Drosophila melanogaster: one gene and its partner. The protein of the gene in region 1 purifies or fractionates together with the protein of each later gene. This does not show direct contact. Each region holds a gene or a part of one and is shown on either strand. Other genes may lie near its edges.

What was found.
Region 2: the proteins of Ama (region 1) and Nrt purify together in Drosophila melanogaster (affinity purification with western blotting; 3 studies listed by BioGRID, with this or other methods). This does not show direct contact.

Annotation. Positions count from the first base shown.
Region 1 is NT_033777.3:6,760,584-6,766,033, reverse strand, and holds Ama (amalgam), read right to left. Parts: upstream 3,442-5,450; 5' UTR 3,055-3,441; coding exon 3,038-3,054; intron 2,855-3,037; exon of another isoform or gene 2,518-2,854; intron 2,202-2,517; coding exon 1,193-2,201; 3' UTR 773-1,192; downstream 1-772.
Region 2 is NT_037436.4:16,764,340-16,769,223, reverse strand, and holds the start of Nrt (neurotactin), read right to left. Parts: upstream 3,153-4,884; 5' UTR 2,684-3,152; intron 1-2,683. UniProt on the Drosophila melanogaster protein: May mediate or modulate cell adhesion between embryonic cells during development.

The DNA of each region.
Region 1 (5,450 bases):
TTGCCAAATGTATTCCAGCAACGGGTTTCTAATGGAAACAATTAAGTCATTAGCAAGTGTTGATTTTAGTGAGCGATGAGCCGGGTTGGGGATTTAGTTAAACTAATGTGCTCCGGCCATAATGGAGTCCTTTGGGCACTCTGGACTGGATCCCCGCACAAGCTCCCGAATAGTTCATGTACCAGTGGCAGACCCAGCTCGTTGGACCGCCTTACAAATGCCTCGCATTTTTCTCAATTACAATGAACAACTTACATTCGGGTTCACTTTTCGCCACACAACCCACTCCGCATTTTGACCATGTGAGTGTTTACGTCAAGAGGTGAACAACTGACTGCCATTTTTTAACCATGATTGAAGAGTTAAACGCTGTGGCACTTTGAGCGGGCTCGGTTAACTTTTTGGCAAATGACTTCGGCAGCGTTAACCGTTGGAATACCAGCTCAGAATGGAGGTTACATGCTGTTTTTGGTGTCAAGGTGGGACCTTGCGGACTCAGATGGCAGCTTTAAGGAAGAAGATCTTGAAAGATCTGTTATTTAGGGTTTGGAAAGTGGCATCCAAAAAAGTTAATGGATTTTTAAAAGATTTGGATGTTCTAGCCATCATTCTAACGAAACTGTGGCTTTTAAAGTGTAAAGTTTGAATTGTTTATTGTTATAAATTAATAAGATCCATGGAGCATTGGGTGTTGTTTAGAAGTGATTAATTTTTCATTTATATCTGCACTTACCATATATTTTTAGATTCCCTCTCGATAAAACAATGAAATACTTTTGACAATGCCTTGTCTCCTGGCTTAGTTTTATTGAATGACAAACCCTTTAATTCGTTGCTTCAAGAGGTGTTTATTCTCTCATGGTATTTAACTTACACCGTATACAAGCCAACCCAACCACATAGGAAAAGACCGATTAAACTTTATCAGAGAACGTTATTTACTTAAGCATATTAATGTGTGTTTGCACAAGCCGACGGATGCAGAGCAAAATTCATAAGGCACAAGCGGTGGCTCGATCTCAAGTGTGTCCGAAAATAATGAAGTCTGAATGGGAGCTAATTGAATGAATCATTAATAATATAAACACAGACCGCATCCGGACTGGCGAATTGCCGAAAAAGCGAGACGAGAGGAGAAAGTGAGGGTTCCAGTCTTGTTGCGTGGGAATGGAAATCAGACGTTGAGGGCTTATTACGACAAGGAGGGCACTGGGATGACGGTCTGGAAGAGATGCAGTCGCGCATCGGCGTGTCCCAGCTTATTGGTGGCATTGCAGTAGTAGTCCCCAAAGTCCTCCTCGCCCACGCTATCGATGCGCAGCACAGAGGTTGTGGTTCCCGAGGAGGAGGCGGTGTTGGCCACCTCGTGGTGCCGGCTAGACTGCAGGGGCACGCCATTCTTGTGCCAAACTACAGTCGGAGCCGGGTAGCCCTGCACGGAGCACTCCAGCTCCGCGGAATGGGACACCATTTGGGCGATCTTGGGCCTCTGGACGGCAATCTGCGGACGGAACTCCACTTCGACCCGGATCAACCTCTTGTCCGGCTGGCCCTCTCCGTTCTGCGCGATGCAGTAGTAGCCGCCGCGATCCATCCGGTGCACGGAACGAATCCGGAGAGTTGGTTCGGCCAGCAAATGGCCACCGGCAGGCATCACTGCATTATGCTCGCGGGCCCAGGAGATCGTAGGCTTGGGAAAGCCATTGGCATGGCAGGTCAGCTCCAGATTCTGTCCCTCTGTCACCAGGGTGCTCTTGGGGGTGTTCTCCGCAATCACCGGCGGGGTCTTGATCTGCAGGCTCAGCTTCTTGGTCACCTTCTCCGTGGCCGAAACAAGCACCTGACACTCGTACGGACCCATGTCACTGACTTCGATGTTCTGAATGCGGAAGGTGTAAATGGCACTTCCGGTCTTGGGTCCTTCGGTGACCGTTACGTTGTACCGCTGGTCGGGCAGACTGAGGATATTCCGCATGGAGAGCACCACCGAGTTGGTGTCCGACTCGCTGGGACGCTTGGCCCAGCTCACCGAGAGCTGTCCCACCTCCTCCACGGTGCAGTTGAACTCCACAGAGTCGCCCACACTGGCCACCACGTCCTTGCTGATCTGGCTGATCACTGGGGCACTAAGCACCGAATCCAAGCTGATCGCAAGGCAGAATATAAGACCGATTAGAAGCCGCAGACGCGCCATGTCTGGTCTGTAAGAAATCAAAATAGATTTGAGATTTATTAGTGTATCACTTTATGTTGAGTCTTTTGATCGCGTTAGCCATTCTAAATATTTCGTATGTAATGGAGAACTGCCATTTTTAACCCATCTTCGAATTCAATATAATAAACTAAAACTAGGTTCAATTATAGAATAATAATTTAAAGGTCACAAGTATATCTTTAAAAGTATCTTTCAAAAGTAAATAAGAAGGAAAGAATTCTGCACACACACTCGTTTTGAAACATTTATAAGGCTTGTACACACTTTTCAGCTTTATCGTCTTATTTTAATATAATTCATACATTTCTGTTTATTTACAGGATGTTGCTGTTGATTTTGTGACTCTTTTTCCTCGACTATCTCTCAGTTCAATGTGGGTTCAATGCGCTTCACTTCGCGTTCGGGACTCGACTGAATTGAAAGAGGCGACCGAGCTCGGCTCAAAAATCCGTATCTCTGCTGAGGTTCTGAGAATCGGGTTCTTATTTTTGTATTCTTCCTGACGCGCCGACGTCGATGGCTCGGTTTCTCAAGGAAAGTCCCGAAATTTGTACACCGCGAGAATGAAGCAGATAGACACCATTATGATTGATTACCGCGGCTGTGTCTAGACAACGTTGCTTCTTAATGGATACACTGGTAAAAACGGAGATAACTTAGTTTTCCGATATATCAATACTTATTTTTTTTTTTAATGAATAGCCAGGTAAACGAAATCAATTTGATTTAAAATTAATTTTTTTGTAGTTAAGGATGTGAAAAAAGATTTTAAATGGCAGTGTTTAGTAAATAGTTTAAAATTTAGTAAAAAAAATAGTTTACCTTTTATTATATTGCATATTTTTTAATAATTAGTAACAGCTTTTTTCAGTGTATTTGCCGATGAAGAAGTCATCGACGTTTTGGATCTTATCACCCCTCGGTTATGTACATTGTCGCCTTCACAGTATTTGTATCTGTGTTTGTTCAGTATCTCTATCTGTATTTTGTATCTGTGTTTGCATTTTAGTTCGTATTTAAATTGTTTACTTGTGCGTGAGTTTGACTTCGGGCTCAGTTATCAATGCACTTTCCTTCTGGTCTTTAATTGATTTGTTTTGCTGCTCGCTGCTGTTGTTTATGCCTCTGCCTGTGGCCCTCCTGCCCCGCCCACTTGACAGCCCCCGCCCCAAGATAAGCGGTCAGTTGCAAAAACAAAGCGCCAGCGAAAGCGGCCGCAGGCGAACTGAGAGACCGCGTGCGAAATTCAAATTCAAATTCGTGCCGCCATTTGGCCATAAACGTTTCGGGGTTCGTGGAAGGACAATAAAAGGAGCAGCGGCGGGGTGGGAAAGTTGGAACTCTACCCATTTGTGTGATTTATGGCATGGCGCACTACTTTCCGCTGGCGGCTAACAACAACAGCAACGATTACGAGCGGTCCCTGGAATATCCTAGCCGCTCTGGAAATGCCAGCGATCCCAGCGCCGTCTCATTAGTGCTGTCTCTTTTGCGCCGGAGCAGGGGCGCATGCGCGAAAAGGCAAAAACAACGGGGTGGTGTACAAGGCATTGGGTGGAACTTGAATCGAGTCCTGGTTCAGCCATGCTGGGAAATTCTGAAGGATATTTAAAGAGCAGTATTCGGGAAATTTGGGTACCTTTAACTTGGCTGTTCGTAGAAATTTCTTTACACGGCTGAAGGTTAATATGTGTACTCACAGCATACGAGGATAGGAAACGTCGAAATATAACATAGTCTATATTGATTATATTTGTGTATATATATTGATGTGTTTAATATGTGTCTGGATCTCGATCAATTAGTTCCTATGGCAGATGATTTAAGGATTAAATGTGGTCAAAGGCCGTTTGATGTGCAAAATTTCACTTGTTGTATAAGCACCGAACCATTCGAAAACTTTCTGCTGCCCAAACGCATTTAATTTTCATATTTCCAGCCTGATTCCTGATCAGCCCCGGGCCAAGTTTCCCCCTAAAACCCATCGAGGTTAACCCGGCTTTACTCTGCGAGATGATTGATGACGACGCTGTCTGTCTGGCGAAGAAATTCCCCCGAAGAGCGACGAAACTATGGCCACAGTTTCTGGAAAATTAAATCACATCTTAAATCGTTTCGGTGACTTCTGCTGAAATGAGGCCGTTCCCATGGGAGGACAACTGCATCTGTCGTCCGAACTTGGACCCCCGCACTCTCACTCGTACTGCCCATCTGCCGGAATCCTCGTCGCTGAGTGCACATTCGAATCAGATAATTGTAAATTGTGTAAAATAATAAATTTCCAGTTAACTATCAACGGACCGCATAGGGCGCTTCTATTCCGTCCCTTTCTCGCTGCCCACTGACGGCTCTCCTTGTCCTCAGCTGCATCCCGGCAGCGTCATTATGACCATTGCGGCGATGCCTCTTGGATGCAGGTTCAGGTCCTGGTCCAGGTCCTGGCAGGTCCGGCTGCTTCATGCAACGCTCGACTTGGCCCGACCGAACTGGACACACACCGAAACCGAACGAAAGAGACGGCTAGACGGCGTGCGACAGAGAGGGCTGCCGCTCGCATTCAGGCGCAAGCGGATCCAAAACAGAAAATGTCAAATTTTGTAATTTATTACCCGAATCCTGTTTCTGTCAGTGACTCTTTGGGTGTTTCGCTTCAGCAGCGGCACACACGGGGGCATTCAGCATTCAGGGTCGCCGAGCGGGGAAGGGAGAAGTCCTTTGTCACACACTGCGTCTGAATTTGTGGCCCAGTTCCGCACAGTGGTATCTAGCAGATACTTTTTGTAATATTTGTAAGAATGCACAGAACTTCGTTACATTCAGAGATTTCTAGTTTCTAGTCAGATGACTAAATACAATATTATGTGTCAAAGTAATTAATTTTGTTTTTGAATAAATTTCTAAAATATCAGCTTGCCTTTAACGTAAATATAGCCTTTTCTACCTATCTTTATCTGATATAAAAAAGTAGCATTTGAAATGCTGTTGTTGCAATGGTATCGAATTGGTATTAAAGCTCTGGCCCTGTTTAATTTGTATTTGTAGTCAGAGCAACCACTGTACCTTTGTGTGTATCCTTGGGCTTTGCCTATGCGAACGTATTTTGTTTGCCTTTTGGCTGCACTCCGACTCCGTCGACTGGAGTGTCTGTGAATTGACTTTTGTTGCCAGTTGGCAGCGGCAGAAGCAGCAAAGCCCGGCCAACAGCAACAAGCTCCTGCCAGATCCCAAAAGCAAA
Region 2 (4,884 bases), on another chromosome or scaffold:
GGTGATTAATGATCAAAGCTGACACGTGTTCAAAGAACAATGCGGAAGGGGTCGGAAAGATGAAGGGGGAGTGAAGTTCACTGGAGCATGAGAAACACTTAGAAAAAATAAAGAAGAAACATAGGTAAGATAGATCGCAAGTTGCAACAAATGTTGAAAACCTTTAAAAATATACAAACTTGTTTGTTAAGAACTACTTGAGGACATACTATAATAATTCATAAGAAATATAAGACTGAATTTATTTCCAGTACAAAAGGGGCAGAAACCAGAAACCGCAAGACTCAAAGGTTTATACACGTGCGATGCGAATTCACAGTCGTCTCCCCTCATTTTATTTTGATGGATAACAATCTCCTGGGGCAGGTAGAGAGCGGAAACTGGTAAAGGGGCACAGAGTCCCACAAACCTCAAAGGATCAGCGGAAGGCGCCTAGTTCCAGGACAAGGGGATTGGCACAACAAAAATGGAATAAATGGAGTTTGGAGTGGGAAGAGCAAACAAAATCGGAACGAGATTTCCACTTCAAACAGGCCATTTTTATGAATTTGTAATTACTCTCGAGGGGCAAACAACTCTTGAAGATATGGGATAGGATAGCCCTGAGTTGCGTTGGTTGGTTCAATGTTTGTGCATACCGCGTACTCTTGGATTTGATGAGGTAGACACATCTTATATCTTATATTCAAGAATATTTGTTGGAGAATGTTATAACATTAACTGAGTGCATTGAACCACGAAGTTCCTGGTGCATTTAACCAATATTATGTATGCAATTAGTTGTTTCTTAAATGGAAGTACTGGGTATCTGTTAAGTCTGCATACACTGCCTTCCTCACAACTCATGGCTGTCCTTCCACTATATCATTCCATTTTATTGCACAATATTTTCTAGCACCACGTTGCCTTTTTCAGGCAGATAAGCGAAGATTTCCTCCGCGATAAGAACCCTGAGAATTCCTTGAAGCCAGGCTCCTTGCAGGGCCATTGGAATTGTCAACAACAAATATTTATGATTTGCGCTGGGGTTTCTTGTAACCCTCATTAGTCAATTGTCAGCAGCTCTTGAGGGGATTCGAGTTTTGGGATCGTATCGCAGCACTTGACTCTCAAGTTCTTATTGCTGATGGATTTACAATTTCCTAAATGAAAACTCCATTTTTGTTTAAACTGTTTGACCATGAACTCCAGATGTAAATAGCCGAGTTTTGTTTATCATTGAGAGCGAGAAAAAGTGTTGAAAATCGTGCTTTGTATTCTTGTTGCATTTGCCTTGTTGTGTTTTTCCTTAATTGTTGTTTACTTTTCGAGTGGAAAGCAGGCAACACTTACATAGGAACAACAATTTAAAATTGAATTGTAAAGACGAAAACTTTTGATTACACACATTTTGGGGTAAATTGGGAAAATGAGATACTGAGGCACACACATCAACATCATCATGTCGGCTCTTGTCTTTTGAAAACTTGGCAAAACAATGAGGGAAGTTGGAGCGAAAAGTCAATGGGCGGGGGAGTTGCCTCCATAAATCTCTTTCCGAATGCAAATGTTGCGTCAGCGTGGCATCTTCACGTTTTCCTACCCCATTTGTTGTGCCTCTGTTTGGCTTTGTTGATGCTTTTCTCACTTTTTAGTTGCTCGATTCCCCGGAAGTCTTTTTTTCTTTTTCTGGAGCGAATCGAAGAGCAGCAGCTGCCAACTCGAACTTTCTCTGAAGATCCCGGGAATTCGTGATCATTTCCATGCGCCTATTAATTCATCATTGAATTATTGCCCTTTTTCCCGGTATCCGTATCCCTTCAACAATTTCCTTTGCATTTGTTTACGGAATGACTATTTGGGGATTTATTCAAGCCGGCGTCTGACTGTGCATACAAATGATACCAAAGGGGTCGCGCTATTTTTGGGGCAACTCCATCCACCAAACTCTGGATGTTGATGGATTGAAATATCTGAGGATTAACACACATTATGTTTATGAAATGTTCAAAAGGATTTGTCAGGGCCGTGATTTATGTCAAATGGTTATGTTTTTCATACGGAGCCGCGACACAAGCCATTAGAAAGGATGGAAAATGGGAATTATTGAGGGAAAGAGTCCGTCTGATCATTGACACGAGCCATTAGACCTCAAGACGCGTAAGATGATGATGACGATGGGGTGGGTGTGCTTCGTTACGGAGGGATTATATCAATGAATCGTGAAGCCCCATTAATCTTATTAAGAGCTCGGAATGAAATGTTTTTCGAGACGCCATTTAAATTGTTTTGGTAAGATGTTTCCTCGGTAATTATGGATTGTGGAGGATTATAAATTAATTTAGAGCCGTCAAGATCGGATACCGACATATTTTAAAAGTTTTCAAATTAAGCTCTTATATCTTTTATCTTCTACTTTTCACAAATAACTCAGATTTCAATTGCTACGGCATTAGCGTTTTTCAATAAACTTTTTGGCCAAAATCTTTACATTTGTATAAAACTAAATAAATATGCATGTAAATTGTTTTATTCAATTATAATCACATTTTAATCTTTCAAGTTTGAAGTGTCCATATTCACTTGTTAAATTATTAAAGTTGGCAGACAAATTTGACTTCATTTACAATTCATCGATTTGTTTTCAACTGCTCTTCCTCTTCTACAAATCCCCGAGGTCCTTCACACGAATTTGTAATCTTACCTTTTTCAATTCTCGCAAACACTGTGTAAAATGTGTGTTGCTTTTTTCGAACTTGTTGAAATGTGGCAATTGGGAATAATCCGTTGGTCCTTGAAAACAGCGGGTGGCGTAAATGAACCCGATGTCCTTCCTGCAGGACACTTAGGTGTGTATAACAAACGCACAGATTTTTTGATTTGTTGCGGTTTTTTCTTTTCTCCGCTCCTTCGGCACAGAGCAAAACAAAATGCACAAAAGTAGTTGCGGTGTTTTTGTTAGATTTGTGTAAATATATTTCTTGCACTTAATACAACATACGATGCACAATAGGAATATAAAAAGTTATTCCTTGTTTGCGCCGAATTTGATTTTGTTTTCTTTTGGTCGCGTCTGTGCGGCGAGAGTGTGTGTGTGTGTGCGATGCGAAAGCGAGCACAACCGGAGCGAGGGAAAACGCGTGCGGCTTCCAAAACAGAACAAAACTGACTGACGCCGTTTCGATGTCATGCAATTCATGCGGCTTCGAAACGGTTAACAGAGTCTTAACAGCAACTGTTAATGTTAATTTTCTTGGATTTGTTTTTATTCGGGGAACTGGAAGTGGAACGTGTTTTCGGCGAGAACATGTTTCTCTCTTGAAAAAAAGAAAAAACATAATTTAAGATATAACTTGTAAGTTTATAATAGTATACAAATTATGTCAAGCAACAGTGATTAGCATTGAAAACACCTACACAACGAATTGTTGTAATATTTTATAAGTAATTTAATTAAACTTATTAGACATGATCATAATTCATGTTTATGATTTAGTTCGAACTGGACCACTGTGCACTGGAACTGGAAGCAGCCGGCATTGTAAATTTATAAATCATAGGGGTGGCTGGAAAGCAGCAGTAAAAGTAGCGGCTTTGTTTTCCTGTACAGTAAGTGCAAAATGTTCGATGGTGATTTTATGAAAAAGGTATTGTAGTTTTGGTAAAGCGTTTATTGTTAGTGAAACAAGACACCTCAGATATTATGATCAGATCAGATACTTTATAGAACATGTAGGAGAACATAGGGTAAAATTGTTATAAATTGTTCAAGTCAACACCCAAAACCCAAAGTAGAGGTATTACGTAGTCTACAGCTCTTTATAAATATAAAACTTAAAGTTATTAAAAATTTCTGAGTTGTACATGCTTCAAATAGAAGTAGATGCCGATCTCCCTATATTTCTTTGTTATTAATTTTTCTTAAAAAGAGAGGGAAGCTGGCAAGGGGAAGGGAAAGAAGTTTGTTGATATGGCACTTTTGTTTGAGTAAAGGTTTTGATTTCGGTTTTTGAAACTCGTTTTCAAATGCTTATCAACTGGCGGCAAGTGTTGAAGCGCAGTTTATGCCGATGGGAACATCTGGCATATGTAGGGAAATTCCACGTCCTGATGCGTCATTACAGCACAAACCCTTACCCTTGGCTACCTCCAACCCAACACCCCTTTTCGCATAGGGTTTCATATCCCTACCCCTGAGAAAATTCACTTATTTGGTAAGAAAGACAAAATATAATGATTCTTTCAATCAACTTTTGCGCAATGAAAACTATAAAGAAGATTTTAATGCATTTATTTTGAGCGATACGCAAATCAACAGAATGATTCATCCACAGTTATGAGAAAAACATACGTTGTTGCAGTTTATTTAATAAAGGGCACTCCCCCAGTATTATACTTTCAATTACTATATAGTATGTGCTCTATTTTATAAAAATGTTACGCTTATGATTTATGAGTAATCAACTAATGTAGGAGATATGTCTTCAGACAATTAGGCTACCCATTTAACTAAAGTGTTTGGTAAATATTTTTCAATATTTCAATATTTTCATTGTATACCTATGTATGTACATAGTTTAATATTTATATTGAACTTGTGTCGGTTGAATTATTAGAACAGAAGCCATGACGACACGTGCTAGAAATGTATTAGAAGTCGATTCCCCTGTTCTTCCAAAGGTATTACCCCACGGAATTCCTACCCACATGTCAACAACTTTCACGCCCCGAACTATGAGGGTTCCCTATTTCATTGTGGAGCTACTGAAGCATTTCATTAGACATGATGTTAGGCGACATCTGCTACCGAAAAAAAGGAATAAATATGGTAGGAAACTAGAAAATAAAAGTGAAGGTTGGCTCGAGTTACATACGTATTTGAGTTTGACGCATGCCCGTCACGTC